Linked DNA regions of Struthio camelus. The protein of the gene in region 1 interacts with the protein of each later gene in a pairwise test. Links are inferred from orthologs where the notes say so. Each region holds a gene or a part of one and is shown on either strand. Other genes may lie near its edges.

Region 1 (15,007 bases):
ACAAGCCATGATGAGTTGAGATCTGGGGGCTAAACTGAAGAAAGCAAAGAGCTTGGGTTTGTTTTTCCTACTGTGCTCTTATACACTCGTCCCTTTGCCCAACTCTGGAGCTGCTGAACACTTCCCTTTAACAGGGACTCCTGAGATCATTTTAGCTCTTCTTTAGCTCTAGGGGGAAGGGAAACACATGTACAGTGCTAGGTTTGGTTTGGAGACATTGGTGATCTGTGGCTTATGAAGAGCCAAAAATTAATTCCTTGCAGTTGTTAGTTTCTACTCCAAAGAAAGAGGGTATGCAAAAGAATAGGATAGAGACAAAGAGTGATAAAAGTGACTGTTGCTCTTCAGATCATCATCATCTAAACTTTGTGTAAAACACACTAAACAGTGTTTGAATCCATTAGACTGAAGGTAGCCTTGAATAACATTTGCTGGAATTAGTCCTTGTATGCTAGCTTTGAACAGACAGCCTGGGGGCAGACTATACTGATGGAGTCCAGTATTTCTGCCATTGCTTTGTCTGCCAAGATGCGCCTAACCAGTGCCTAAAATCAGATATGACAGCAGCTGCAAAAGCTTGACCTTCCTTCTAGAAACTCTGGAAGCAGGCAGGCACAAATGAATTCAAGGGAGGAATATTTGCCTTTGGCAGAAGCAGGGGAGCTGAACTCAAAGGGCTCTGCAGCGGTGCATGGTGTGCTTGCCCTCACCGTCCACTTTGCCTGTGCGAGAGCTGCTGTTTGGATGCTGTGACTTCTGTGAGTTTCTTTTTCTCCACAGCAGACGATCACTCCTCCTTGTTCTTGTCAGACAATGTTGTTTTCTCTGGAGCACCCCCACCCCCCTATGACCCATCCCCTGCTCGAGCAGCCTTTGACAGGATAGATTTGTGTTACTGCCTGCAATGGAAAATGAACTAGAGCAGCCTGTCAGGCCTGTTCTCAAGAGGAAAGTGCACTTTAACTTTTTAAGCATCAGCGGGCATTTCTTTCACCAGTATTGCCTCATGCATTGAGGAATTCAGGAGTAAAAGCAGGGGTTTGGAAATGCAAGTTACCTTTAGTAGTAAAGATGAGACTATTGCTGTGAAGAGCTCTCAGAGTAAGAAAGGAGGTAACAAAGCATCTATGTATCTACAGATGTGCTCTGAAACAAGCCCATATGCAAACAGCTAATTGTAACTAACAACATTGTGAACTGCACAAAACCCCCATAAACAGAAGTTGAACTTTGTACCTATGTGCTTCTGTGCCTGCTCCCTCTTCCTCTGTGAAGCAAGACATATAAGAATGCTTGCCTTAGGTGGAATGCAGTGCTCTTCTTGCTTTTTATTCACTAATTGCTTGAAATGGGACGCTTGTCTTTTCTTTCAAATTTTCGTGGCTTTTTGTTTAAGTAGGTGTCAAGCTTCATCTACAGCCAGCTTGGGAAAGGAGTAGGGTGAAAAGGTGCCTACTTGCAGTGTCACAGAACTACTTACCTCTCCCTTCCGTGTGCGTAGGGTGAACAGAGCTGGGGCCAAGTTATCCACAGCAAGTTTCTTGCTCCAGCAACTTAACTCAATGTGTTCTGTTTAAGAAAAATTAAACCACTTCCACTTTTTTTTAAAATTCTAGAAAGTAAGAAGATCTGAAAAAAAATCCACTTCCTACATGGTGTATATGTGGAACAGGGGAGTACAAGAACTCCAGTGTCTTGACTGATGAATAGCAAAGTTTACTTTTTAAAAGCCTTTTATTTAAGGACTCTTTCTGTGTTATGATGAGAGCCAACTTAATCCTCTGTGTAACTATAATACAGTTACCCTAGGGAGAGCACATGGCCTCAGCATCTCTTACATTTAGTTAGCAGGAGAAGCGTGCTCAAAGGGGAATACTGTATGTACAGATGGGTAATGTACAAGTCTGAACTTGATTTTGAGACTTAGGCAGTATTGGAACTTTGTTGCAGTATATTTCCACTCATGCATTTACTGGTTCTATGAACCATGAAGAATTAAACTTGTTAACCTCCTTACTGGTGCATGCTTTTTTTTCCTCTCTCCTTTCCCTCCATTTTTTCCATACTCCTAACTATTGTTTTCTAGACAACTCCATAAAACTGGCTTCAGGAAGAACAGCTGAGTGCTGACTTCAGCATCAGCTTTCAGCATGCATTCCCTGGCTTATGCTAATAGAACAATATGTGCCAGAGGCAAGGTGAAGCTTCACAAACATGTTGGGGTTGGTTGAGACAGATCGTCACATTGCACTCTCCCTACTTGGGATCACACAAACACAATTACACAATTAGTATTTCACTGCTCTCTCCAGAGCAAGAAGAACTATTCACATCCCAGCCAGACTATGAAAACAGTAACAAGTTTAATGTACAAAAAGACACTTCTGTACCTACACACCACTACATCTGTGCCAGCAGAAAGTATGATCCTGTTGGGTAAACACACTGAGGCCCCTGAAGGTTTCTATCCCTGGTCTGTTGAAGTATGGGACCCTGAGGCCCTAAGACAATTGTTTGGCTGCTGCCTGCTTCTGCACATTGCTAAGATCACAAGCCAGATTTCAGCAGTTACATTAGGAAGCCTCACCACAGTTGCCTAAACGAAAGTCTACGCACAATAAAACGTTTACAGGCTCCTTGAAGGGGAGGCTCTAATACCAAAATATGCTCAATGGGGTAACTGCATTACCCCATACAGAGGTACTCTGAGCTTCATCTGCAGGGCTTTTTCCTCAGTCCTCCTACCCCATCAGCCATGCCAAGAGTATTAACGGCTACATTTTGTAAACTGAAAACAAGCCACATAAAAATCAAGCTGGACTGAGTGCAACTTCAGCATCAAGGTTTGTTTTCCTGTAGGTCCTCGGAGAACGATACGGGCAGGCAACAACAGAAGCTTGGAGCGCTTAAGCCTCGTAGTTCTGCTACGACTCTTGAGGTTACGCAGTACCCAACTGGAAGCTTGCTTTAACTCCTGTCTTGTCATGATGCTGTTGAGATACTTCAGTGGAAGATGATTTTCTTATATTTGGAATTGGGGATCTGTCCCCGTGACTTGAGCCTCCTGACTGCCTCTCGCATGTGTTTGGGCTGTAGAGGTGGCAGCTCTCCCCACTTCTCACATACATCCAGTGCTAAACAAAAAACAAGAGTTCACATAAGCAGGACAGCTGAGCTGAGCCAGTCTCTTAACAGATGATACCTGAAAAGCCTCCTACTGTTTTGAGCTTTAAATTTCAAAGGCAAAAGGTAACTTTTCTCTTGTTCAGAGTTTAAAGCTCATTTTATTAATGCATGAGAGTGAAACTGCCTTATGTGTTTCTCTTTGACTAAAAGAAAAGTTAGTCCTAGAGGCATCAGCACTGGACAAGAATAAACCACTTCTCAAACAGCTTCAGCTATGGAATACGCTAGTTTAAGTCATGCAAGAACTTGGCAATAATGCCTTATGATCTTAAGCCTTCCACTTTAAAAACCCCTCTAGATTGGGATTAGGTTTTGGGGTCATTATGTGTAGGAGCAATAGGAAGGTACAATTTACAATGGACTTACAGGCCAATTCCTTCTCCATCAGCTAGAATAAGCATTGTTTACATCTCCTGCCAAGGACATGAAGCAATTAAGTACAGCAGTGAAGCTGCTTATCCAAACTGCCTCAGGTAACACACAGAGCTGCAGCAGGGAAACAGCCAAACTGCATCATCCTGGATAAGGTAATCCCTGCATGTATAGGCCACATGTTTTGCATGACAAGTCTGTACTGAGCAGATGGCATGAACAAACAGTACTGTCTCCTCCTGGAGCGTGAATAAGGGAAAAAAAAAAAACCCAGGTACTTGGCTGGGTCAGCCTTCTACAGGATATCCCAAAGAGATCTCGGCTCATTGTTTAAAGCCTGAGTCTTACAGATGAGAGGCCTAAATAACTTATTTCCCTGGGCTGCATTTGTTGTCCACAGCAGCATTAGCAAAGATCTTGACTGCCCTACTGCAGCCTGCTCACACGCCGATTTGTGTGGCAAGAATGTTGACGTTATTTTCCTTTGAGGAACCAATAGAATTCCCAGTCTCGTTTCATATCCTTCTGCTTGGTTTTAAGCAATGAATTTACCATTGTATTTTTAACCTTTTTGCCCCACGATAACATATTCCACTTACCTTCTTCCACCACCTCCCCAACGAAGACCTTGGAAATGCCGGACATGGCAATAACCACGTTCTGAGAGACAGAGGTGCCAGTAATTGACTGGATTAGCTTGACAAGCAGGGAAGAGACAGTCAGTTGAATGAAGTACGCAGCAACAGCGAAAGTACTAGCCATTACTTCTATCTGTTGCCCCACGCACCCTAACCACTTTCAATTACAATGGGTTGGCAGAGACCCCCATTTAAACTGCATAAGCCATGCAAATTCAGTAAGCTCGAACAGGGTCAGATAAGCTGATCTGAGGACAACGGTCTCGGCCACGAAGGCTGAGACAAGCAGCTGGAAGAGAAGGTGCATCCACAGCCTGCGCATACAGCGGATCCAGTTCTTACCCTATGCAAGTCTTAAATCTGCAGTTCTATAGCCAGGCTTGGTAAGGCTCAGCCTTTTAACCCAGCCCACTTTGCTCATATTTTTTCCCCTATAGCAAAGCGTTATTAAAACCATACCCGTTTAATAGCAGCTTTGGGGAAAGCAGACCGACGATACATCTCATAACGATTCAACTGTTCTTCAGAAAAGGAAGAGACTAGTATTCTGGGGTGGAAAAAATTGATTGTTTACAGGGGAAAAAAAAAGAAAAAAGAAAAAAGAAAAAAGTTTAGCACATCTCTGGCTACTGGGTTACTGAAAGTCTCGCAGAACCTTCCTACCACCCCAAACCTCTCACAGTACAGAAGAGGGCCAGGAAGGGAAAGACTGTTCCAGCTGTACTAAAATTTATATGCAAAATGGCTAGGCCCATTCAGGAGGGGAGAGACCTGGGAAAGAACTAGGGAAATCATCAGCAACAGTCTCATAAAACAGCTAGAGGTTCACTACGCAGTCAGCGTGTCTAGAGACAAACTCCATACAGCAACTTGTGCCCTAGGGAGCACCAGCCTCCTCCAGGGAGCAGCCCGGCCCGGCGCACCGCCACTTACTGCATCTTCTGGATCTCGTCCTCGTCCACTTTGTGCTTCTTCTCCTTCCTCTCCTTCAGCTCCAGCTTCACCTTCTTGGCCGCGGACGGCTGCAGGCTCGGGTCCTCCCCGTCCACCGCCTCCCCCTCGGCGCTCCTCACCTGGGCGAGAGCGCACTGCTCGGCTCGGCGGCGCCACGACCCGGCCCGACCCGGTCCGGCCCGACCCCCCCGCGCCCCCTCCTCGCTCCGGCCCGGCCTCACCTCCCCCGCCTGCGCCTCTACCGCGGACTCGCCGCCCCCGCCGGCCTCTCCCGCCTCGCCCTCAGCCGCTGCCTCCGCGGCTGCCGGCTCCTCTGCAGCCGCCGCTCCGGGGCCCGGGGGAGACGAGGAGGCAGCGGCCGGCGGCGGCTCCGGGGCGGAGGCTCCAAGCTCCTCACGGCCCGGCGAGTCGGGCTCCGCCATCGCTCCCCGACGGCGGCGGCGGCGGCGGCGGCGGCGGCGGCGGCGGCGGCGACGCCTCCTGATGACGCCACCGCTACGGTTGCCGCGAAGGGCCGCGCCTTGCCGGCGGCGGGGCGGGGCCTGTCGCCATGGCAACGAGGCCTGCCCGGGGGTGAGTGATGGGGCCGGGGCGGGGGGGACTGGGAGGTACTGGGAGAGCGGGTGGGGAGGGCCGGGGGCGGTGTGGGGGTTGTGGGAGGGAGGGCCTTGGGGTACTGGGGGGTACTGGGGCGGGATGGGCTGGGCTGGGGGGTACTGGGAGAGGGGGGTGGGAAGGGCTGGGGCAGTACTGGGGTACCAGGGCGGGAAGGGCTGGGGGGAACCGGGTTCCTGGGGTGGGAGAGGCAGGGGTCAGCCCCGGCGTATTGGGGCGCCGCGGGGGGTGACGCAGCGGGGGGCAGAGGCCAGGCCAGTAGGGAGCCGAACTGCAGGGCCTGGAGCTTGGCTCCGGCCGGGGGGCAGGACGTGCTGACAGGGGCAGCCGTGTCCCTTCCTGCTCTTGGAGCAAGGGGACGGTTGTTACACTGATGAGTTGCTGGAGTCGTTGCAGAAGCGCGTTCTCAGCGTGGCGTTCTTGCACGGAAATAGGAAAAAAGTTAAATATTAAGAAGGAAAAGTGTTACGGTAGGGACAGAGTCTGGGGTCTGGAGCTGTGGAAACAGCCCAGGGTCTGGGTGCACGCTTTAGTCTGTGGCTCTGCAAACCCAGATCAAAGTCACCAACAAAACAGCTCTCTCTGAGGCATTGGCAAGGATCTCCTGCTGATTTTGTTTCTTGGAAGCATGAATCAATTTGGAAAGGCTAAGCCAGTCAATGATTTTCTGCATTGTTTCCGTCTAACAGGGTACCACATGACACAGCAGGGAGCAGCAAGGTTGGGGCGAGACGCGGGGAAGCCGGGACTCCCGCGTTCCCGGCCCCCCCAGCCCCTCCTCAAGCCTGGGAATTCTGACGCTGCTTCTTTGTTTCTTTGTTTGTTGTATGGAAAAGTAGTGATAACGTTGACCAGCTTCACAGGGCTACAGGATTAATTCCAGCTTGCAAAATACTCTGAGCGCCTCTGGTGAAAGGAGCTAAATATGTGTAATTTCCAGCGGCCCTCTCACGCATCAGCTTCCCCTGCGGGCTCTGGCGAGGCAGGGTATGGCCGCTGCCACGCGCGCTGGAGCACGTGGAGTCCCGCACGAGCGCGTGGCACCTCGACGCAGGGGATGTTTCTGGCGGGCACCAAGGCTGTGATCTCCTGTAAGTGTCCTCCTATGTATTTCCCTCAAGGTGAGGTCAAGGTGAACGACGTTCATCTCCCGTCTCTCGAGCGCAGGCTGCGCTGGGTAAGGGATATCCCCCAGCCAGAGACCTGAAAACTGCCTGAGCAAAACTGTGGCAAATCCACTTCAGTTCCGCTTGGAGGGGCAGCGACCGAGGCTGGCTCTCTGAGAGGACTGATGCTGTTAACGTGCTGTTCAAATGGAGCACCTGGCCGCATTTGAATCATTTTGCGTGCCAGCTCGTAGGCTGCCATCGCGGACAACTGTTTCTGGCTGTTTTGCTTCCCCTTGAAGAGCGATCGTCAGCCAGAGCAGAGCACCAGCACCGTTCCTCCCCAGAAGCCTTTGCTATGGGCAACGGCTGAGAAATAGCCTGCGAATATTCCTTTTTCGTGTCTCTTTCGCCAATAGACGCGCAGAACGAGAGCCCTGGCAGAGACGTGCCTTATTTAAACTGTTCTAGGAATTAATTCTTGTACATATTATGCCCAACTGCTCTAGCGACGGGAACCCTGGAAATGCAGAAAGCGCTGGGGCTAGACCAAAGGCGGTCCCTTTCTTTGCGTAGCGCGTGCTGTAACCCTACCTTTGCGTTATTCACGTCCCTCCCTTTCGCGGTTGTAGCAGACTCCTTAGCTTTAACGAATAAAATGAGCCAAAGCAAAATTAATTTAAAATACCCTTAAAAAAAATAGTTGGAAGTCATTTAAGGGATTTATGGAACTAACGAGGCCAGGTGTAAATCGCCTTTTGGGCGTTGCACAGCCACTAACACCGCAGGCACATCCGGCCCTCATGCACCGGGGTGGGGCGGGTCGGGCCCCCCAGCCCGCACGCGTGGGAGTTTCGGACCCGCCCCCCTAGCCCGCACGCGTGGGAGTTTCAGGGCCCCCGGGACCTTACGCACAGCGGTTTCAGGGCCCCCCTGCCCCGGAGGGGGGCGAGGGGGCGGTGCCCTGCCATCCCGCCGGGGGGGCGTCCCGCCCCTGTAGGGCGGAGCTTCTTCAGGCCACGCCTCCCCCCGCCGTGGGCGTGGCTGCGGGCCGAGAGGCCCCGCCATGCCAGGCCCCGCCCTCCGTCAGGCCCCGCCCCGGAAGGACGCGCAGGGGGCGGGGCGCGGCGGCGGCGGCGGGCGGCCGGGGCCGGGCCATGGGGAAGGAGCAGGAGCTGCTGGAGGCCGCCCGCACCGGGAACCTGCCCGCCGTGGAGAAGCTGCTCTCGGGCAAGCGGCTCAGCTCCGGTTTCGGCTCCGGCGGCGGCTCCGGCGGCGGCTCCGGGGGAGGCGGCGGCGGCGGTGGCGGCGGGAGCGGCGGTGTGGGGCACCCGCTGTCCAGTCTCCTCAGGTGAGCGCGGCCCGCGGGGGGCGGGGAGCCCAGACGCTGTAGGCCCTGGGGCGGGCGTGGGGCTGGGGGGCCGTGGGGCTGGGGGGCCGTGGGGCTGGGGGGCCGTGGGGCTGGGGGGCCGTGGGGCTGGGGGGCCGTGGGGCTGGGGGGCCGTGGGGCTGGGGGGCCGTGGGGCTGGGGGGCCGTGGGGCGGGGGGCAGTGGATGCGTGGGGCTGGGGGGCCGTGGGGTGGGGGGCAGTGGATGCGTGGGGCTGGGGGGGCGTGGGGTGGGGGGCAGTGGATGCGTGGGGCTGGGAGGTGCAGGGTGCGTGGGGCTGGGGGGCCGTGGGGTGGGGGGCAGTGGATGCGTGGGGCTGGGAGGTGCAGGGTGCGTGGGGCTGGGGGGCTATTGGGTGGGAGGCAGCAGATGCATGGGGCTGGGGGGTGGGAGGTGCAGGGTGGGAGGCAGCAGATGCGTGGGGCTGGGGAGCCAGGAGGTGTAGGGTGCGTGGGGTGGGGGGCAGCGGATGCGTGGGGCTGGGAGGTGTGGGGTGTGTGGGGCTGGGGGGCTGTGGGGTGGGAGGCAGCAGATGCGTGGGGCTGGGGAGCCGGGAGGTGTGGGGTGCGTGGGGCTGGGAGGTGTGGGGTGCGTGGGGCTGGGAGGTGTGGGGTGCGTGGGGCTGGGGGGCTGCGGGGTGGGAGGCAGTAGATGAGTGGGGCTGGGAGGTGAGGGGCGCGTGGGGCTGGGGGGCCGTGGGGTGGGAGGCAGTGGATGCATGGGGCTGGGGGGCCAGGAGGAGCGGGGTGTGTGGGGCTGGGAGGTCGTGGGGCGGGAGGCAGTGGATTCATGGGGCTGGGAGGCATGGGATGTGTGGGGCTGGGGGGTGGGAGGCAGCGGATGCGTGGGGCTGCGGGGCCATTGGACGGGAGGCAGCGGATGCGTGGGGCTGGGGGGCCATGGGGTGGGAGGCAGCAGAGGTGTGGGGCTGGGAGCCGTGGGGTGTGGGAGGCAGTGGATGTGTGGGGCTGGAGGGCTGCGAGGTGTGGGGTGCATGGGGCTGGGGGGTGGGAGGCAGCAGATGTGTGGGGCTGGGAAGCCGGGAGGCGCGGGGTGCGTGGAGCTGCAGGGCTGTGGGGAAGGGGGTATGTTGGGCTGTGGGGCAGGAGGTGGGATGTCACGGCGTTGAGGGCAAATAGGGTTGTGGAGTCCGGGGGCCTGGGGTAGGCGGTAGGGATTGGGGTTTGTGGGGCGGAGGTGGCTGTGGGGCAGGAGGGTGGGGGTCTGTGGGGCAGGAGAGGGGGTGTGTGCGGCTGGGGGGTTTTAGGACCGTAGGGCGGGAGGTGAGGCGTATGGGGCTGGGGGGCAGAGGTGGGAGAGGCAGGCAGCGTGGGGCTGTGGGGCCTGTTGGCAGGGGCTGGGGGGAGGCTGCAGGGGTTGCGGGTTTGGGGGTGCCCGTGGGGCTGGGGGATGAGGTCTGGAGCCTGAGCCAGCGTGAGCTGGGCGAGGAGACGGCGGCAGTGGGGCCGGGGGTGGGATGAGGCGTTAGGGAGGGGGCCGTGACGGGGGTACGGGAAGCACGGGCTGGGCCGGGGGGAGACCCTGCGGCGTTGGTGCCGCCTGGGTGTTACGGGATCCATGGGGGCTGGCGGCGGCGGCGGGAGGCTGGGAGAGCCGGGAGACGCGGCTGTCTGGAGCGCGTGCTCCCGGCGTGGGGAGCTGCCCGGTGATGTGTCCCCAGGGCTTAAACCGCTACAGGGTTACGTACGCCATTGGTAACGGCGGGTAGCTGGGGACTGGCGAACCAGGGAAAAGGTGCTGTGTTTGGCCAAGGGGAGCGGGACTCTGGGTTAGGATGCCAGAAGAGGCTGGCAGACCTGCAGCCGGGATTGTGCCCGTGTGTTCCTGCAGTGAGGGGAGCTGCTGGATGAATTTAGTGGGGCAGATGTGCAGCTGGCTGTTCAGCAAGACGTCCTCTCCCCCCCTTGCTCTCGTTGTGTTCGTTTCACGCGTGTGCTCCCTTTCTCTGTAATTTTCGCTGCTTGCTGAAATGCTGTTATGGCTCTCGAATTGGCAGTGGCTGTTCAGGCTTGGGGGTCAGTGGTGCTGTGCCGCACAGACGTACGTAGGGCATAGCCCTTTGCTTTGGCATTTAAAGTACCGTGCTATGTAACTTGCTCTGTTTTGAAGCTTGTAGACCTTTGTTAGTTTTTTTCTCCTCCCTTTTTTTCGGCATCTCACAAGGGAACCTCTTGCTGGTGCGTTTCTCAAGTTGCAGCTTTTTGCAGTTTCGGCTCCTCTGCTGGAACTGCTGCCGTTCGTGTTCCCTGAGCTCCCTGTTTGTATTGGAAGGGAGGCGGCGACTGAGTCCACTGCTGAGTGACACTGTCACTGTATAGCTTGACTATTCAGACGGATGTGACTTGCCCATTTGTGGCTAAACTGGATCCACTTTTCCTTTTACAAAACGCTATTGGAAATCTGCTGTTGCACTTCAAACTGATTGGCAGAGATACAGTGATGTGGACGGGTTTTGCTTTCCTAGTGCTGATATATATGTTGGTGTCTCAAATGTAAATGTGTTCTTAGGTTGAACTTTATACTTCTCTTTTAATGTATTAAACACACCGAGTCCTTGTTTTGAGTGGGAAATTGCTCTGAACACTTCAAGCTCATCTATGTTAGAAGATAGATGTACTTGTAGGGTGTTTAGATAAAGTGGAGAGGGTCAGCTGAGTTAAATACACAGCACAAGTGTTATCAACCTCTTGTTCTAACAGCTCTGCCATGCTACCCTGTAGTAATGATGCCTTTTTTCTTTTTTTTTCCTGGTAAGACAACTGCTTGTGCTAGCAGTTGATTTGTGGAGTGGGGAGGCTGTTTGACATCTGATCAGTTAGCTTGTTTTTTTCACGTGTAAACATAGTGTGGTGTATAGATATGTCTGAAGGATGGTGAATGTCAGCTGTCATTCATAGCCTTGCCTGTGTTCGTTTACTTGACAGTCTTAAAAGTCTTTTAGTTAACACCCACCAAACCTCTTGATTCTTAAACCTTTTGCTGCCTGCCGTTGGGTTACAGTAAAAATTTGGGCGTGATTATGATAGCGATTCTCATCCTGGAAGCGTGTTGGATTCTCAGTGTTTGCGGGGTGTGTGTGGTAACCTGGTGTGTGTGGAATCTGCAGTAGCATCCCTTGATGTATGACTATCTGCATGGACGTGTCCATGTTGATGTTAGTCCTGCTGCTCGGATCGTGACCTTTACACTATGTTTGCGCATGCAGTGGCTGCAGTCTTCCCAGGCGTCGATGTTACAAGCCCTAGGGAGTGGTCCTGAGGCTGGTCTGCTCCTACCTGTCGGCACTTTTTGCTACCTGATAGTTGGGGCAAGAGTTCAGGTGGTCGCTCTGGGCATGCAGCCGCTGTGTTCCCACCTGTGGTGTCTGGAGAACATGCTTTCAGGGATTGAAAATGGGCTTTGGACAATTTAGAGGCTATCTGATGATTTCTGGTGTCCTGTCAATTTGTTATGCTTTTACTTGGCTTAAATGGCTTTAAGTGGGGAAAAAAGCACTTATGCTTGTTTTACAGATGCAAGGCTTTCGTGAGGAACGGCCACTAAGTTTACTTGCAATGAGAAGCCTGGCAATTGGTTGGGGAGCAACTGGGACAAACTGGGCAGTGTTCAAAGCTGATGCTTTCTGTAGCATGAACTCAGTTCGTATGGCTTGTTCAGCAGCAATAACCCTATGGAGTCCTGGTGGGACTATGAGATGGCTCTGAGACCTGACTCTCTTTAGGGGGTTGTTATAGCAGCAACCGCACTCCTTCGTGTCCCCTTAGTAGAACAGTAACAAATTGGATTTTGATCGTTGCAGTGGGGATTGAGTTTCCATTCCAAAAAACAAAAAAGCAACCACCTCACCCCCCAAGTTTCCAAGTGGCCTCAACGTATCAGAGAAGAAAGTTGGACAGTCCTCTCTTGTGTGTCATCCTGTCTCTGTTTTGGTCTGTGTTTACTCTGTGAAGTGTGAAACTGGCTCTTGCCCCTGGTGCCAAGACCTGATTACTGACTTTGCTCATCTCTGGAGGTGTGTAATTCCTTGGGAGCATCTTCACCTGTGGTTTCCCTGCTTCCTGGGGGCAGGGAGGATATGGCAAGAAGTACTCTGCAGTAGGCAAGGTATTTAATTATAGCTAACTTTGCCTTTCTGTGCTCCTTTTTAAAATAACTTCAAGGGGTTGGAAAAGAGAAATATGGAAGTTTGTCTGCCTTACACTTAAAGGAAAGTCGAAGGGGGCAAATTAAAGGGAACTGGTGTTGTGGGAGGGAGAGTGAATGGGTGGAGGTGGCAGAAGCAGTGCTGGCTGTGGTCCGCCCCAGCACCCTCTGCCTTCTCTGCAGGACAGTACCAAAGGTGTGTGACAGGTCAAGAATAACTTTGGAGTAACTTTAAAGTTGAAGTATTTTCCCTTAAATCTTATTTCTGTATCTTGATTTTTTCCTAATGATGATTAGATGCATTTTCTAAATTAAAAACAATGAATATGGACTGGAAATGTGCTGAGAGAGTGTCATAGTGACAATTAAGTGGGAGCATTAATGAAAGTAGTAAATTGATGGAGAAGGCTAAGGTGCTTCAGCTGGTGGCTAACTCTTTATCAGACTCTACAGCAGGAAAGCTGGTTAAACAGTAGCTGCTTTCAGTATTAATAGATAAAGAAATCACAAAATAGGTATTGGGAGCAGGGATTTATTTTTTTGTGTGTATGATAAGGTTGGATCTAGGAGAATTTAGGTTACAAATCATTGTCATTTGTCATCTGAAATGTGGAAGTGTCAAGACCTGGGGCAGGACTCCTTATAGCCTTGTTCAGATGTGGGTCCTGCTGAAAGCTTCTGGCACAAAATGCCCTTGTGGTTTTTTTTAACAGCTAAATGCAATGTTTTATTAGCTTTGAAACCTTTGAAAAGCTTCTGAATGACACTCGCTCAGCTGCTTCTCCAAACTGCCTTCAGCCTGCAAGGCGAGAGGATGGTGTGAAGCTTGTGGGGAAGGAGTCTGCATCAACTGTAAAGAAAAGACAGGTTACATTAACAAGTTTTAGGAATGTGCAGGGTATAAGAAACTTTACCAGTGAGACCTCTTCTAATTTGGGGTTGCTTACCGTTTGGTTGTGGTGGAGAAACTTTTCCTTGGTCAGTTTGGTACGTTTCATATTTTCCCTTCCTCAAACAAGTTTTGGCAGGTTTCTTTTTTGTGAAGTCATTTTGATTTCTGCTGAAGCTGGCTTTAATGATCTAGATCATATCCTTTACAAAAGATGTCTGCTGGTTATGGAGCTGCTCAGCTGTCCTTGGGTCCCCTGAAGCTCCTGCCAAGAACAGGGTTATGAACACTCTACTGGGCTGACAGAGCTCCCTTGTTCCTTCTCCTGGCTGATTTCAGGTCTTTTTTGATGTCAGTGCGCTATTTCAGTTTCTATTTTTTAACTGTCTCACTGTTTGCACTACCTATTCTCGCAAGAACATCTCACTTTCCTAGGCATTGGGCCCATTCCTTCTGTGCAGTTCTACAGCATTTGAGATAGGTCCCAAAAATAGTTTTGAATTAGATACACCGCACATAAAAATAGTGGGCCGTTAAGCATATTACAATTTAAACGTGAACTTTGTCGGATCTGGGGATTTTGTACTTCCTGCTTAGATCGCTGAGCTGCGTCCTCTAGGGTGTGAAAGACATGAATAATCTCCAAATGAAATCACAAAATTCTGCAGATAAGCAGGAAGAAAGAGATGATAGGCTGTGATAAGTCAAATGAGAAGGAAGCACCAAAGGTAGAATGGTAGATAAAGCCTCGCCCTAGGGGGCAAATGTGCCACTATGTAACCCTAAAAATATTAGGCAGGAAAATACACCCTAGTGGAAAGGGGTGCTAATGTGGATAAAGGAATACAAGTGGTAGGTTGTAGTGTTAAGGGTATGGGGAGGATAAGAAGCAGCAAAGAAGAGGGAGATGAGTTTCTGGCTTTTGACAAGGCAGACGGTGGGACCTAGAAGGAGGCCGTGTCTTGCCAGTGTTTGGGGAGGAAGTGGCTTGCCAGTAGTCCTTGAGGATTTGTGCTGCTGCTCCAGCTGCCCCTAGGATCTACTCGCGTAACGTGGTCGTTATGATCTGTTTGCGGCCTTGGAAGGCGGCCAAAGCAGCTCCAGGAACGTGGTGTGGGCCGTAGTCCTCCGATCTCCGCTCCTTGATGGTGTAGTAATGGTTTCCATTTTCAGAACGTATCTAACGCAGCAGTAGCAAAAGCACTTCTTGTTGATCAGTGAGCATCTAGAGATAGTATCATCTTCATGTAAACACAGCTTAATGCTTATAAGTAAAAACAAGTCCAAAAATTACAATGCTTTGCAAATCCATCAAGTCTGAGGGTTTTAAGGAGGGGCTTCGCATAGGGACTACAGAATTTAAAATTTTGTTTTCTGCTTCATTGCAAAGCTAGAGGCAGGAAGCAGTGAAACAATTTGTGGTCTGAAATATCAGGCTGCGTTCAGTAGGTTTAGCTAGTAGTGCTAATGATGAATTGTATCACAGCCAAATCAGAAAAAGCTTTTTATTTTGATCTGATTGAGGAGCTTTGATCAGAGGGGAAACTGAGGCTACTCTTCGAGCCACAGATTGTATATGTAATCTAAGTGTATGAAGGATAAACTTCTACTGTGAATTAGGACCTTTTTCGTATACATCTGTTGTGGGAAAGGGTTTGGTGGTTGCTTCACAGCAGCCAAAGCAAGTGTTCTAG
Region 2 (15,230 bases), on another chromosome or scaffold:
TCCGCCCGGGGGTCAGGCGCCCAGCTACACCGCGCGGACGCCGAGCCTCTCCGCCGGGCCCTGCTGCCAGCAGGGCCGGGAGCGTCCCCGGCGGGCGCCGGCCAGGACGTGGCACGCAGCGCCCCGCTGACTCTTACCCCAGCCCGACGCAGCCTCACAGCCTGCCGGCACGTCTGCTCCTCGGGGAGCGCCTCGCAGCCGAGGCATGGCGGTGCTGGCAGAGCCCCGGCGGGCGGCTGCACTGCAGACAGGGGCAGCCCTGCCGCCACTCGTAGGGAGCCCAACCGGCCTCCTGGGCCACCCCGCGGTGCCAGAGCGTGGACCGGTGCCGCTGGTCCTCCATGCTCTCTCACCCTACAGAGCAGGGCACCTTCTACCCGGCTCTGGTACCCTCAGGCCTGACAGCACAGTCTGCACCGCGGCATCACCCGGCCAGGGTGCTCGCTTGGGGCCAGCGGCACGCTGCAGAAAGTAACTTCAGGGGCAAACACCTCAGGGGTGCAGAGCAGCACACGGGTCGCCCCTTCCCCTCCGACCAGCACCCACCGCCCTGTAACACATCCCAGCGTCGCCGCAGGGCCTCCCCACCGAGCCCAGCCGGCTACGTCCCCCAGGGACGTGCTCGCCGACCCTCGCAGCGCGGCCGCCTGGCCCCAGGCTGGGCTTCCTCAGGAGCTGCTTGCAGCCCGCGAGCGGGCAGTGCTCCTCCGCCCTGGGCCCCGCACGCCGCTCTGCCTTGCCCTGCCCGGGAAGGCAGCGTTTCCCAAGCCCTCACAACAGCACTGGCCTGCACGCACATCAGGCCGTCGCTGCACAAGGCCCCTGCCCCAGGCCCTCGGAGGCTCCTCCATCTGATCAGACCCTTTGTTAGGCGCTGGCTCGCAGCCAAGAGAAACATTTTTTAGAGAATAAACTCGCTGAAGCCGTCTCAGCGCGGAGCCCTCAGCTCGGCAAAGATCGGCAGGCCTCGGGGGGACGGCACCGGTGGCTCCAGCCTCGCACGGTGCCCCCAGGGTTTGCGCTCCTTGCCGGGGCGCTGCAGGGACCCGCGCCCACCGGGACAGCCGCGGAGAGCCTGGCTCGTGCTACGGAGCAGGCCCCCAGGCAGCGCTCGGCGCCCGCGAGCAAAGCCTTCGCTCGAGACGCGGCCTCCCGTGCCAGCTGCCGGAGCGTCAGCAGCGCGGACGACAGACGCATTCCAAGGCTTATAAGGCAATTGCGCGGCCAGAGCCACCCGCTAGCGCCCGTGCAAGGGGACAGGGACCACACCTGGTCCAGGCGAGCGTCGCACCAGGGGCGGCTCGCGCGAAGAGCCTCGGCTGCGAGCAGCCAGCAGCACAAAGCCTCTCACACGCACACGTTCGGCGCTGGGGAAACGGGCCGGGGGCCACCGTCCCAGCGCCGGCAGCAGCGTGGGCTTCCTCCCCTCTCTGCCCGTTCCAGGGCCAGAGGGAGCTCGGACGCGGGCTGGAGCTGGAAGCCGAGCAGCAGGAGGGAGGACAGAAGGGCTGAGCCCGCTGCACGAGCCCAGACCCCAGGAGGCCAGGCCCAGCGTCACAGTCCGGACCAGGAGGCCAGCCCCACGGCGCGGAGGCTAGAAGAGCGGCTCCCCTCCCCCAGCTGCCGGACAGGCTCCGGAAGAGGCCTCCCCTACCTCCCCCAGCAGCCAGAATGACTCTGCAGAGGCTTTGCAGTACTTCAAATTTCTGCTGCTCTTCTTGCCCGGAACACCCCCGGCACGCACGTCCCCTGCCAGACGAGGGCCGATAAGGCAACGGGGTGGTGCAGTAGAGGCTAAGCGGAGCGAGACCACAGCAGGACCCAGCACTCCAAGGGTCCCACCTCATCCACGTCCCCATACAGCTGCCGCCTCAGTCACCTGGTCCCAGCAGCCACAGTTTCCTACCCGCAGAGGTAGGAACAGGATGGGCGTTACCGAGGCTCAGCTTCTCTTACCCTGGAGATGGAGAGCGGCATGCTGAAATCCTTCCCTCCCTGCAGTCTGAACCCCCAGGGCGCGGGGCCATCCAGGATCACCTTGTAGGACTCCACATCGCCCATCTCTGCAAAGGAAGAGGGTGCGATCCCGGTGTTACGCTGCACGGGAACAACGCAGGGAGAGCAGCCGAGCGGGGCCCCAGCACCTGGCAGGATGGGGCAGGAGGAGACAGGTCACGCTTCCAGGACCGGCTCCACCCCGACTATCCCACACTGCAGTTAGAGACGCACCCCAAATCCATCAGCATCTCCTAGGGCTGAGGAGCCCAGGCTAATGCTGACTAGCACAAAAGAGCCAGACACAGCTGACTGCCACGCTCAGTGCACTCACGGGCTCTGCTCTCCCTGCCCCAAACCTGGGGCACGCTCTCCCTTGCAGTACGCACAACAGCGCCCTGGAAGCTCACGCTACTGAGAGCCAAAACTGTTTCAGACCACGGAGAAGCAACAGCGGGTGTGGAAGGATGGAGACCAGAGGCGTTTTCGCTGGGTGAATTAGCAGCGGCACAGTAGCTGCGCGATGCCAACCAAGCGGACTGGCAGCGCAGCCAGGCTCGTGCTGCAGCAGCTGGCCAAACAGATGCTACCTGGGAGGCGAGCCCATCTCTGCGCGCAGAGCCGGGGCTTCAGCGAGGAGGGAATCCCTGCCTCTCCCTGCGCGCCAGCCGGGACGGCGCTGACAGCTGTCAGCCGGCCAAGGCACGGGGGGCACACGGGCCGGCCCCAGCCTCCCAGCCGCATCTCAGCCAAGAGGAGCCCTCCCAGATCTTGAGGGGCCCCTTCGAGACCCTGCCTCCTGCCCCCGCAAGGAAGGGACAAACCCAGCGCCCCGAGGGCCGGGGACCTCGGGCTCCTAGCCGGGAGGCAGTGGAGGCGCAAGGGCCGGGGGCCGGCGAGCCCCCGCTCTCCCCAAGCCCGGGCGGGCTATATAAGGCTTGTAAGATGACACCAGCGTGCTCCCCGCTCGGGAAGGCTGGGTGAAGGCTGCGTGTCAGACATTCCCCAGCACCGAGCAGCCGCACAAACCGGGGCAAGGCGCGGTGTCCTTCGGGGCCGGGACCGTGGCGGTCTGCCCCAAGGCGGCCGGCAGCGCCCCACACGCCCAGGTCAGGGCTGGGGGGGCCCCAGCAGCCAGGGGTCTCCGGCAGCCCTGGGGCAGGGTGCTGGTGGGGGGCAGAGAAGTGATCTGGAGGGATGGGGTGGGCCCACACAGCCCCTCCGCGAGGGGTTACGGCCACGTCCCATGGGGCTGGCGCAAGGCACCTGGGTGGCCCTGGGGCACCCACTCCTGATGGGCAGCCAGGCTGGGCCCCCAGCCCTGCCCCACACAGGCCCCCCCCACTCCCTACCCCTGCCCCCCTACCCTGCCCTATACGGGCCCCCCTGCTCTCTACCCCTGCCCCACACGACCCCCCCCCCCCGTTCCCCAGCCCTGCCCCACACGGGCCCCTTGTCCAGACGGGGCCAGCCAGCCTCCCTGACCCCGACCCGGGGCCCCCCTCCCCGCCCCACACAGCCCCCTGCGCAGGCCGGACTGGCCCCCTTTCCCACAGCTCGGGCCCCCCCTCCAAACCCGCGGCACCCCGTCGGGGCGGGCCCCGAGCCCCAGCGCTGCCCCACACGGGCCCTGCCGGAGCACTCTGCCTGCCTTCCTCGCACACAGGCCCCTACCCGGCCCCATGCGGGCCCCCAGCCGGATGAGCCGCCCCCGCGCCCAGGCCCGGGCCCCCTGGCAGCCCCGGTCCCGCCCCGCGCTCACCTGCGGCCGGGCCGCGCCGGGCCGCCCCGGCGGAGCGGAGCGGGGCCGAACGGACCGAGCGGAGCGGAGCGGAGCGGAGCGGAGCGGAGCAGCCGGACGCGGGACTCGAACTCGGGGCACCGCCCCCGCCCGGCCCGGCCCGCCTTTAAGTACGGCCGGGGGTGGGGTGGGCGGTGCCGGCGGCCGGCTCGGCCAATCAGCTCGCCGACCGCCCGCCGCGCCGGGGCGCGCACGACGGCGCCCCCTGACGGCGAGATGCGGGCGCCGCAGGCGCAGCGCGGGCGCCCCCTCCCACCCGCGAGCAAGGACGGAGCCGGCTCGAGCGCAGCCTCTTTATTCACCGTATCGCCAAGGCCCGGCCGGCCCGGCTCACAGCCAGTCCCGCTGCCCGGCGGCAGGAGCCTCCCTGCTCAGCAGCCGGACGAGCTTGGCCTTGAGGTTGCCCTGCGGCTTGGGCCCGGGGCGCCCCGGGGGCTCCTCGTGGGCACAGCGCCCCGCCGGACCCCAGCGCTGCTCCGGGGGGCCGGGGGGCTGCGGGCCGCCCCACGCCGCCGCCACCGCCTCCCGGTTGTCGTAGATGGGGCCTGCCTCGCCGCTGTGGCCCTCGGGGGCCTGCCGGCACCCCAGCTCCCACTGCCCTTCCTCGTGCTCCTCCTCCTCCTCCTCTGTGCGCCCCAGCTGCGCCGCAAAGATGTTCTCATAGAGGTGCTCGGCGGCCGGCTTCCCCGCGGCCCAGGGCTCGCTGGGGCCAGGCTGCCCCAGCCCGAAGAGGGGCTGCTGGCCCCGGGCGATGGAGGCGTAGATGATGGGGCCGGTGCCATCGGGCTCCGAGGTTGGGAAGCGGAGGAGGCCCAGGGCAGGCTGGGAACTGGGCTGGGAGCTGGGCTGCACCCTCCCTGCGGCTGGCCCAGGCTGCGGTTCCTCAGAGGCGGGTCCCCGGGGCTGGGGCTCGGTGCCCGGGATGGGGATCCGGGTCTCCGGGGCATCCTTGTCCTGCTGCTGGCAGGCGATGGCGGTGGCCACGGCCCGGCAGAGCTCCGGGGCCCGCGGGGTGCTGAAGGTGAAGGTGCCCTCGCCAGAGTCGCTGCGGCGGCCGGCCTCGAAGGAGAAGACTGTCTGCGAGGTCGGAGGGCAGGGTGAGGGGCTGGCGCCCACCTCACCTGCCCTAGGGAAGTCAGGGAGCGGGGCACCACCTACCTGGTCCTGGCCAAACTTGCGGAGGAAGGAGTAGGGCCAGGTGAGCAGGGGCTGGCGGGACTGCGGGTCCTTCAGCGTCAGGCTCTGGGGGAGAGCTGCGAGCAGGTAGTGCCCGTGCAGGCCGCAGCGGGCGGCTGCGTCCGTCCTGAGCACCAGCACCAGGAACTCTGTCACTGCGGGAGCAGAACGGCACCGGGATCAGCCCTGCCACGCTGAGCTGCTGCCCGCCCCAGCCCCCTCCGCCACCCAGCCCATGGCACGTACGGTCCTGCCACGAGGAGTAGAGGGAGTTCTCCTCCATGTGGACGTCGGAGCCGGGCTGGGTCCTGGCGCTGCTCTGTGGCACCTCCTTTGCACCCTGAAACAGAGGGATGTGAGAGCGGCCCCCGCCCCGGGCACCCTCGTCCTGCAGCTCGGCCCTGGGGCTGCTCCGAACATGCCGCGGTGGCACAAGGCGCGGGCAGAGATGGGGCAGCGCGAGGGCCTGCAAGCAGGGCTGTAGCACCTCTCCCTGCTGCACACGTGCAGTGGAAACTCTCCCAGTAGGGGCCTGCCTTCAAAACCACCCCCGACTAGTCCCCCCAAGGGGACTCATCCCTTCTCCTGCTGCATCCTGGCCCCATGCCCCAGCAACACCCTCCACCCCAAGGTGATGGCCAGGGACCAAGGGAGGGAGCCCCCCTGGCTCACCCAAACCAGGAGCAGGGTGAGGGGGGTCCCAGCTGTGCAGCCTGCCCACCCCACTGCTCGTGGCCCCGCTCACCCCAAAGACGCGGTACCTGGAAAGCCAGCTGGCAGAGCTGAGAGATCCACTCGTCCCGCTGCTCGGCCGCCAGCACATAGCTCTTCTCCGTGGTGTTGAGGTAGAAGGCAGCGGTGGCTTTGGGGCAGCTGTCAGTGCTGACGGGCCCCACGGAGACGCAGTCCGAGAGGCGGATCACCCGGCGGGCGCACCTCCGCAGGGAGGACTTCTCCAGCACCGTGCCGTCATCCCGCACATCAAACTTCTCCATCCGGGCCACGCCGGACGGGCTGGCAGCAAAGAGCTGCGCTCGCATCTTCCTCCAGAACCTCTGGGGTGCAGGAAGGGCACAGACAAGGGGAACAAAAGGTCAGCAAACAACTGCCTGCTGCATCTTCACCGGCACTGCCCTCCTTATCGCGTCAGCCAGCACAGTAAGGGCTCCAGCCCATGCTTGGCAGGACAGGGCACGCCGGGCACACGCAATGCCCTTCCCGCACCCCTGGCGGGGCTGGGCACACTGCGCGTGCTGGGGGAGGACACAGCAAGCAGGGCCTTCTCAGGTCCCCCAGCACCCGCAGGCCAGGCCAGCCCCAAAGCCAGGGCTGCCAGCCGCCAGGTCAGCGAGGTGGCCAGCCTGGCCCTCCAGCGAGGTCGGCTCCGCTCGCCTGGTGAGTCACGCTCGCCCTCGGCTGGGAAGGGAACCCAGGCATCCTGCCCTCTGCTCCCTGCTGCAAGTGCTAGCCTGCTGCTGCTGCAGCTGAGCCTCTTGAGCTGTTTTCAGGACAGACCATGATGCAAATTAAAGCCATTTTGAGCTGCTTGGGCTCCTGCAGGCAGCTCACACCTACCAAGTACAGTTAGTCCCTGCAGCTAGCAACCCGCTTCCTCCCAGGGGACGCTCTGTGGTACCAGCACCTTCCCAGCCTGTCATGGGATAGAGAGGGCGCTTCCCCCCCACACACCTCAAGAGCACAACATGGCCTCCACCCCAGTGAACCTACGCGCAGCCGAGCACCCAAAATACCCGCCACCGTAAGCCCACCTGCGTCCTACATGGCAGGGCATCGGCCTCTGCTCACATAGGGGTCTGCCCACTTCAGCTCTAGGACTCAGCTCTCGCAGGCAGGGAGACTAGAGCAGCTCCGTGAGAGTATCGAAGGCACAGCCGTGGCCCAGCACGTCCACTGAGCACACGGAGGGTTGACTGCACCCCACGGGCTCTAGGAAGGGGCAGAGCCACCCCGCTGAAGCAGCGGGGATGCTGCTGGGCACGGTCAGCGAAGTGGTGGGACCTGCCTTGTAAGCACCATCTCACAGCTCCTACCAGGACTCCAGTAACATAACCCATAACGTGCCCAGAGGGTTTTGGCACTCAGTGCCCATCCCCAAGGGCTCAGCACACCGAGCAGCTGGGCAGCGAGTCCAGCCCTGCGGCTGGCTTTTCCCACAGCACTGCCCCCCACGGTCAGGCTCTTCGAAGGCTTGGCGCACAGCAACTTCCTATGTGTGGTCCCACCACCCCCAGGAGCTGCAAGGGGCTCCCACCCCTGCTGCCCCACTTGCACACAAGCACCGGAGCTATGCGTCATTAACACACGTTTATTGTTTCATCGCGAATCGCGTGGCGATCAGGCAAGGGGACAGACCCTGTACATGGGGGTCAGTGTGAGCAGAGGCCTGCTCGGGGGAGTCCCCTCAGCTGTGGGGAGAGCCACCTTGCCCCACTCCGTTACAGCTACAGAGGCCAGGGCCCTCTCTGCCCTACCCAAGGGGTCTGGCTCTGTCGTTCCCCTGCCGAAGCTGTGGAGGACCCAGTATTCCCCATCCGGTCAGGGCCTCCCCCAGGGTCTAGCATCAAGGCAGAACAGGGCAAGACAGAGCTCTACAACCCACCCCAAACCCACCCTCCACCTTTTACCTTTCCAAATTTGCTGTGTTGCACATAGAGGATCCCATCCTTCACAGGTCTCTCCATGGGCACAGCACTGCCCTGGCAGCCAGTGCAAGGATCTGGGACTCAGACCATCAGCAGCAGAGAAGTGTGACTGCTGCAGCTGAAGCAACTAAATGGGGCAGACTTCCTTTTCTCAGCGACTTCCCCTTTTTGCTGTGTGGGATGAGGGGCAGGCTGGGCCACAGGAGGTGTCCATCCTCCCTCCCCCTCACAGGAGGGCAGTGGGGCAGAACACATGCAGCAAGAGCAAAGGAAGCTCCTAGGGGCCTGCCTGACATGAGCACAGCATGCTCTGCCCTGCCCTGGCTGCATCAGGGCACAGTTGCGGGTAACAGAAACTGCCCTGGTCAGAGCACAGCAGAAAGGAGGCAGCCACCAGCTGAGAGTGCACAACACGAGCTGCGGGGGAACAGTCCCAGAGGAATCCAGGGGCTTTGGAGGAGAGCAATGCCAGACCCCAGCCATGCCACCACGGGGAAGCTGAGTAGGGGCTGCAGACAGCTGGCCACAGAGCAGCCACCCCACAGGCACCACTACCCGCTTGCCCAATGCTTCACATCAACATGCCGCTGATGTAATGGGCTGTTGCAGCACAGCTCCTCACATTTCCTCCTAGAGCAGGAGCTTCAGCAGGCTGAGCGGGCAACAGTCCCCAGTGCCCAAATGCTTTGAAAAGGAGCCACAGCGGTGCAGGACAGGCCTGCAGTCCGGGCTGGTCTGGGCTTTGGGAAATGAGGGCAGCTGCAGGGGGGACAGCGCTGTTTGCCCAAAGAGAGTCAAAGCTCGGCCCTCTCTCCCAGCCTCGGTGGAGGCAGCACTGGGCAGCAGCATCCCCAGGCTAGAAGTCCATGGAGCTGTGAGCCAGGTAGTCTTTGCGGCCGATGTTGCTGACTTGCTTCGTCTGCATCGCCTCCAGCTTGGGGCAGTCAGTGATGCGATGGCCCAGGCCACCGCAGAAGGCACAGCCCCGTTCATCTGCAATGGGAGGAGCAAGGTCAGGCAGAGCCACACCACACCAGGCAGGAGGGTGGCCCCCACCCCAGGAGCAGAGGGCTAGGCCTGCAACTCCCACCCTGTCACCAGCACTGGGCCATCCACGCAGCCAGGCAACAACCACCCCGTGGCAGGCAACCCAGGGGGCAGCAAGGACCCTGGAGCGATGGGAGCTGGGCCTTCCTATTTTCAGCCCAGGTCACTCCAACAACCCTGCCGGAGCTCCCTGTCCCAGCCTGGGGCCTCTCACCTCCGATGTCCAGCATGGTCTCATCCCCACAGTGCAACACCTGGAGCACAGGAGGCACCTTCTGCTTCGCCTCCAAGAGCAGAGCCTTCAGGTCCATGAGCACTGACTCATCTGGGGGCAGAGACACAGATCAGACGCAGCCCAAGCAGGGGCCTGACACAGGAGTGCCCCAAAGGAGGGCCTGCGGGGCCCTGAGGCCAGCCAGAAGCAGGGCAGCACTGTCCCATGCCACCGTCTCCCCTCCACGGGCCCTAATGACTTAGTCCCTCTTGCTTGGGAACACCACCACTGCCGAGGCAGAGGCAGCTCATGGGGAAGCAAGTGACTTGTCCTATCACCTCATATACCTACAGCCCACTGTGCGGGCCCTCGAGGCAGCCCCAGCCCAGCCCCATGCCATTTCTCACCACAGGCCTTGTTGATGAAGGTGGTAGCAATGCCAGTGTTGCCTGAGCGGCCTGTACGCCCAATACGGTGAACTGCAGAGAAACAGACAGAATCAGGCCTGGGCAAACGCAGCCCAGGCAATGCAGCAGGAAGAGACAGCCCCTGCCCCAGCCACTGCAATGGCAAGCACACAGCCCTGCTGGCCTGCACCCACCCAGTTGTGCTCCCACAGTTCCCCTGACAGGGCCCACTCCCCACCGTAGTTCTCAATCTCCTCTGGCATGTCATAGTTGATGACATGCTGGATAGCTGGGAAGTCCAGGCCTTTGGAAGCTACGTCAGTGGCAACCAGGACATCCTTCTTCCCATCCCGGAAGGCCTCGATGGCTTTTGTCCGCTCCTCCTGATCTGCAAAGGACCAGCACAGAAGATTAGCAAGGGCAGAGCTCCCAGCTCTACTGAGCCCTATGGCCTCAGAACCAAGCATCACTCACAGCCCAAGCTCTCCCACTTTGAGAGAACCCACACATCCTTTCCCTAAATAGAGAAGCAGAGGGACACGCAGGTCCCTCACTATCAGCATCCTAGACCTCCCTTGTCTCATCCCCCGACACAGAGAAAGATGCCTAGCTGGGTGCAAAGAGATGGAGCTCAATCCCATGCGCTTCACCACACTACAAACTCAGCCAGCCTTGCAGCAGGGCCCCAGCATGGGAAGCCCCAACTGCTCCCAGGCTCTGCTGCTTAGGCTAAGCCGCCGTGCACTCGGCTCTGTGGGCTTAGCTCTCCCTCAGATGAGCACGGTGCCACCCAGCACTGTGGCAACACACGGCTCAGCCAACGCAAGCAGCCTGGCAAGGCGAGCTCCCCCATCCTGACAGATACAGAGAGCAGGGTTCAGGGAAACAGCCCCGGAGACAAAGCCAACCTAGGCATGTGCAACTGTGCACAAGGACCCAAAAGGCATTTGAGAGCATATTTAACGACAGCCATGCGGGAACTGTGCTGCGTTTGTGCCTCCTACGCTACTGAACGATGCCCTCACTGACACGTCCCATGTAAAACGACCATGCCTGCTTCCACCTCGGCTGCTACCCTGCTTCATACCCAGAAAGAAAGGACACCCCTAGGAGCCCCCGACATTGCCGCAGTCCTTCCTCAGACCGTTGTGAACTGCTACGTGTTGGGACCTGCCATACTCGGCTACCACAGTGGCAGAAGCAGGGTGAGAGACAGGGCAACATCTGTCTGGGCAGGCCCAGCCAACACCTCCCGACACCCTCACAGACCTTTCCCTCCATGGATGGCCACAGCTTCCACACCCTTGAGCAGCAGGTACTCATGGATTGCATCAACATCTGCCTTCTTCTCCGCAAAGATCAGCACCTGCCACAGCACAGGCATCAGGGAAAGAAAACGGCCCTTCTGCTTGCTGCTACTGCTAGGAATGGGCACAACCTCCAGAGAAACCCCCTCCCTCCTGCTGAGCAGACAGAGCACGCAATAGCTCTGGGCCCAAGACCGTACACAGAGTATGGTCACTTGAATGCCTACCCCCAAACATAGCACTGCCTTGAACCATGCCCTGCAACATCAACACCATGTCCCCACTGACAGCTCGAGGACGTGCAGCGGTCAGCTAAATCCATGCCCCTGGGCTGAGGTTCACCCACGCAGGCCCAGATGTGCTGTTAGAACAGCAGGAGCGCACTACTCACAGGTGGTGGGGTCTTCTGCAGGCACTCGAGCAGGTACACCATCTTCGCCTCCTCCTTCACATACTCCACTTCCTGGGAACAAGCACAGGGACAGGTCAGGCAGACAGCAGAAGGACTACTATCGGCAGGTGTCGCCTGGGAAGGGCTGCCGAGGAGCGCCAAGAAGCCCAGCTCTCTGGCAAGCAATATCAAGCGCACTTGTGAACTGCACTGGCCTCCCACACAGGCATACGGGAGCACCCAGATACCTCACCTGCACAACATCCAGGCTGGCAGCACCTGCTCGCCCAACGTTGATAGTGATGGGCTTCACTAAGGCGCTCTTGGCAAAGTTCTGGATCTTCTTGGGCATTGTGGCACTGAAGAGAAGGGTCTGCCGCTGGCCCTGCGCAGGGAACACAGTGCAAGTAAGGATTTAGCACTCACCCAAATGGGCAGATGCAGGGACTGAGCCCCAAGGTAGGATGTTTGTATCACGCCAGCTCAGTACCTTGAAATAGGAGAAGATGGTACGGATGTCTCCCTCAAAGCCCATATCGATCATCCTGTCAGCCTCATCCAAGGCCAAGTACCGGCAGATGTCCAAGCTCACCATCTTCTTCTGCAGCAAGTCCATGAGGCGGCCAGGGGTTGCCACCATCATATGTACACCACTGTGGGACAAGTCAGGCAGTCAGGCGCCTGCCCCACACAGCAACATGTAGGGAAAGGATCAAGGAGCAACTGCTCAGCACCCACACTCCCTGCTCCAGAGCTCATGCTGTGGGCTGGAAGGCCAGTAACATCTGCCTGGGCCCTCACCTTCACCCACCAGGCCAGCCCGGATGCCAGCCCTTAGTTCCCTGCCAGAAAAAAGACCACAGCTCCAGCCCAGCAAGACCCCCCACACTAGGTCTTACTGTTTGATCGTCTCCATCTGCTCCTTGACAGACATGCCCCCAATGCAGAGGGCACAGCGCAGCGGGGGCAGCCCGTCCTCCTGCAGCAGGCGGCAGTAATATTCTATGATGCCGTGGGTCTGCCGGGCCAGCTCTCGCTGCAGACAGAAAACTATTAATCTCCACGCTCTGCTTCTCCCCTCATAGCCGCAACTGTTCCCACTGAGTATCAGTAAAAGCTTCCTGCCAGGCTTCATTGCACCCCTGCAGCAGGAAGGGGCCCCAATGCACTCACAGAGGGACAGATGATGAGTCCATAGGGGCCCTCTCGTTTGGAAAATGGCAGTCTCTTCTCCTGTTCCAGGCAGAACATGATAACGGGAAGGGTGAACACCAAGGTCTTCCCAGAGCCAGTGAACGCAATGCCAATCATATCCCTTCCTGAGAGGCTGTCAGAGATACAGGGCTGAGCGTGAGCGGGAACATCACAGAATGGCTCCGACCTGCAGGGCAGGCTGTGTGCAGGGTGAAGGGGGTTCCACCCATCAGCAGGGAAAAGCACCCAGCTGACACCACCAGGTGGGCCGTAGGGAGCAGAACATTCCCCGCACTGGGACAGAGCACTCACATGGTGGGGATGCCTTGGATCTGTATGGGTGTTGGCTGCTGGATTCCTTTTTTCTTCAGGCCCCTGAGGATAGCTGTCAGAAAACAAGGGACAGGCACGTTCAGAGCCTGAAGTTTTCCCCTGCTTTCCTCCTAACTCATTTCTCAGAAGCAGCTCTTTCATCAGTGATAAACATCCTCCAGGCCAGCAGCTAGATACCTTAGGAGAAATGGCTACCATCTCGAATTTAAGCTGCGATCCCACTATCAGAGCATGAAGGGTCCGCCAAGTTCGCTCGCCAAGGCAAGTTTCCCATGAGAACGCTACTCCCCCGCCCTCGCCAGCCACGCTCCCACTCCCAGCCCACCTGCTGGAAACTTCATCTCCTTGAAGCTCTTGATGGGAGGGGGGATGCCCTCTCCCTCCACAAGGATGTGGTACTTCTTGCGCACGCGATCATGTCGTGCTTCTGACATGCCCAGGATGTAACGAGGTGCTCTCCAGCTGGGGAGGCAACAGGAAAAGGTCACGGTGCAGAACAAGCCTGGGGCTCCACAGTCAGTAGCCCCAAACAAGGCACTGGGAACTCCCAGTCTGGCTCTGATGCTCCAGTAGGGAAAGCAGGTAACCCCAAGGGGCTTCGCGTGCAAGCGGGTGGGAAGATCCAAGCCTGCACCGTGCATTTAACATTTCTCCAGAGAGCGAGTAACAAGTCCCACGCTAGCAACTGAGAACAGTCCACGAACGATGGATATGGCGTGCCAAAGTCTTGTGGACGCATCTCATTTCATCAGTTCCCTGCCACTGCAGGGCCTTGAGCAGTGCTGGTTCCCTGGGCTTTCCCAGTCTTTTTCTTTAACTTAATCTTCCCCAAGAAGTGAAGATCCAGCTCAAGTCTTTAAGCTTAACGTAGATGTACTCTTAATAAAGCTTACTCTCTTACCATATGTAAAGTAACATCCGAAATGACCCTATAGTCTTTGATCTCACATACCACGATAAGATGCCAGGCAGTGCAGCCCAAGAAGAACCAGTAGCCACAGAGCAGCACGCTGCCTACTAGGTTGCATGGCTTCTAGTTCTTTTCAGCTACAAGGAAGTGATGTTTTCAGAAAGACAACACCTGTATTGTAAAACATACCTGGTTTTAATGGGATCATCATACGTGATGCCCTTTGCCATCTCCTTCACTGACATCAAAGCTGCAGGAACAGACCCAAAAAGATCAGCGCAAGCTCTCTATCTCCAGATGCATACCACTTCAGCAAAGCAGCACTTGGGGCAAAGGTTTGGGGGACCATATTCAGAGATGGCTGACAAACAGCAGTACCCCAGAGAGCCCTTCTGGGCACAGAAATACGAGGTGCTGCAGGCCTGGTGTGTCCAGGGGGCAGCAATAGCAAAGTCTTAAAATTAAGTCAAACAGTCACATGCCTGTTGTGGGATCCTGCTATGTTTTCCTTTCCCATCCCTGGATGTAAACGTCGCCAAGCGTTGCAAGCCAACTGACAGTCTCTCTGCTGCAGCGACAGCTCTGGAGACCAGCGTGAGGGACACAGAGCTCCCACGACTCACCTCGTCCCTGTGCCACACTCTCCAGGATCTTCTCTTCCTCCTTCAGCTGCTTCTCCTTGGCTGACTCCTTCCGAGCTGAGGGGAATCAGGGAATCAGTGAGGAGGCTTCAGCACCCTGGAGCCACCCAGCCCTACTGCCAGCTGTTTCCCTACCTTCCGCCTTCTCTTTGAGGTGCTGGTGCTGATCCAAGAGGCTGATGTTAGACTGGGGCCCCAGGGGGATGTCATCCTCGTCGCCCCGCTGCTCGCTCCCGCTGTCCCGCTGCTCCTCCTCTGACACCACCTTCCGCCGCATCTGCAGCAGCTTCTGCAGCTGGAAGGAAGGGGGGCGGGCAGGGGTTGGGAGGGGGCCCGCACCGCCGCGGCAACCCACGGCCTCCCCTGAGCCGGCCGCGGGCCACCCCTCGCCGCGGAGCCTCCCGGAGCGCCGTTACCATCTGCTGCTTGCGCTGCTTGACGGGCACGTAGGGCACATAGTCGTCGTCCTCCTCCTCCCCGGACAGGCCCGACGTCTCCGACGCCTCCTCCCGCTGCCTCTGTGGGGACACGCGAGGTGAGGCCGGCCCGGCAGGTCGCTGCCCGGCGCCGCGGGGCCGCCCGGAGCGGAGCAGAGCGGGCCCGGCCCGGCCCGGCGCGGCCCTACCTTCCTGTCGGCCGCGGCCTCCATGGCGCCGTCTCCACGCAACGGCCGCGCCGCCCCGGACGCGAATCCCGCGCGGCGGAAGCGGCTGCCGCGGGGCGGGCGCTGTCTCGCTTAGCAACGGCCCCGCGCGTGACGGCAGCGGGAGGCGGAGCTACCGCCCGACGGGCCGCCTAGAAGCCCAAAGTTCGCCGGAGTGCGCGAACAGACGCCTCTCTCCCCGCCCCCAACCCGAGTGGGCCCAGCCCCGGGGCGCGGGGACAAACCACTAAAGAGCTGGGTTTAAATAAAATAAAAAATTAAAAAGTTCTTTATTGGGTCCAGCACGGTCCTTCCCCGCAGAGCAGGGAGCCGGGTGCCCGCGGGTGCAGAGGGGGGGACGGGACGGTGGGGCGCGTGCCCGGAGGGACGGGGCCCGCCGAGGGGGCGAGCGCCGGGGCCCCGCGGCGGAGGAGAGCACCGGCCCCACGGCGGCGAGCCGGGGAGCCCCCGGGGAGCAGGGCGGGGGGCACAGTGAGGAGAGCAGAGC

What was found.
Region 2: the proteins of ANKS1A (region 1) and DOK3 interact in a two-hybrid assay, tested with the Homo sapiens proteins (2 studies listed by BioGRID and IntAct). The link is inferred for Struthio camelus from reciprocal best matches to the Homo sapiens genes ANKS1A and DOK3.

What each region holds. Positions count from the first base shown.
Region 1 is NC_090965.1:5,425,727-5,440,733, reverse strand, and holds the start of ANKS1A (ankyrin repeat and SAM domain-containing protein 1A), read left to right. Parts: upstream 1-8,003; 5' UTR 8,004-8,028; coding exon 8,029-8,222; intron 8,223-15,007. Other genes in the region: TAF11 (transcription initiation factor TFIID subunit 11), read right to left, coding at 3,004-3,134, 4,158-4,254, 4,656-4,743, 5,130-5,269, 5,372-5,572. UniProt on the Homo sapiens protein: Regulator of different signaling pathways. Regulates EPHA8 receptor tyrosine kinase signaling to control cell migration and neurite retraction.
Region 2 is NC_090954.1:9,773,741-9,788,970, forward strand, and holds DOK3 (docking protein 3), read right to left. Parts: upstream 7,759-15,230; 5' UTR 7,675-7,758; coding exon 7,618-7,674; exon of another isoform or gene 7,281-7,617; intron 6,028-7,280; coding exon 5,734-6,027; intron 5,313-5,733; coding exon 5,219-5,312; intron 5,128-5,218; coding exon 4,955-5,127; intron 4,874-4,954; coding exon 4,127-4,873; 3' UTR 4,076-4,126; downstream 1-4,075. Other genes in the region: PDLIM7 (PDZ and LIM domain protein 7), read right to left, coding at 1,957-2,061; probable ATP-dependent RNA helicase DDX41, read right to left, coding at 8,492-8,628, 8,897-9,007, 9,304-9,375, 9,542-9,691, 10,573-10,669, 11,002-11,073, 11,255-11,386, 11,492-11,654 and 9 more. UniProt on the Homo sapiens protein: DOK proteins are enzymatically inert adaptor or scaffolding proteins. They provide a docking platform for the assembly of multimolecular signaling complexes. DOK3 is a negative regulator of JNK signaling in B-cells through interaction with INPP5D/SHIP1.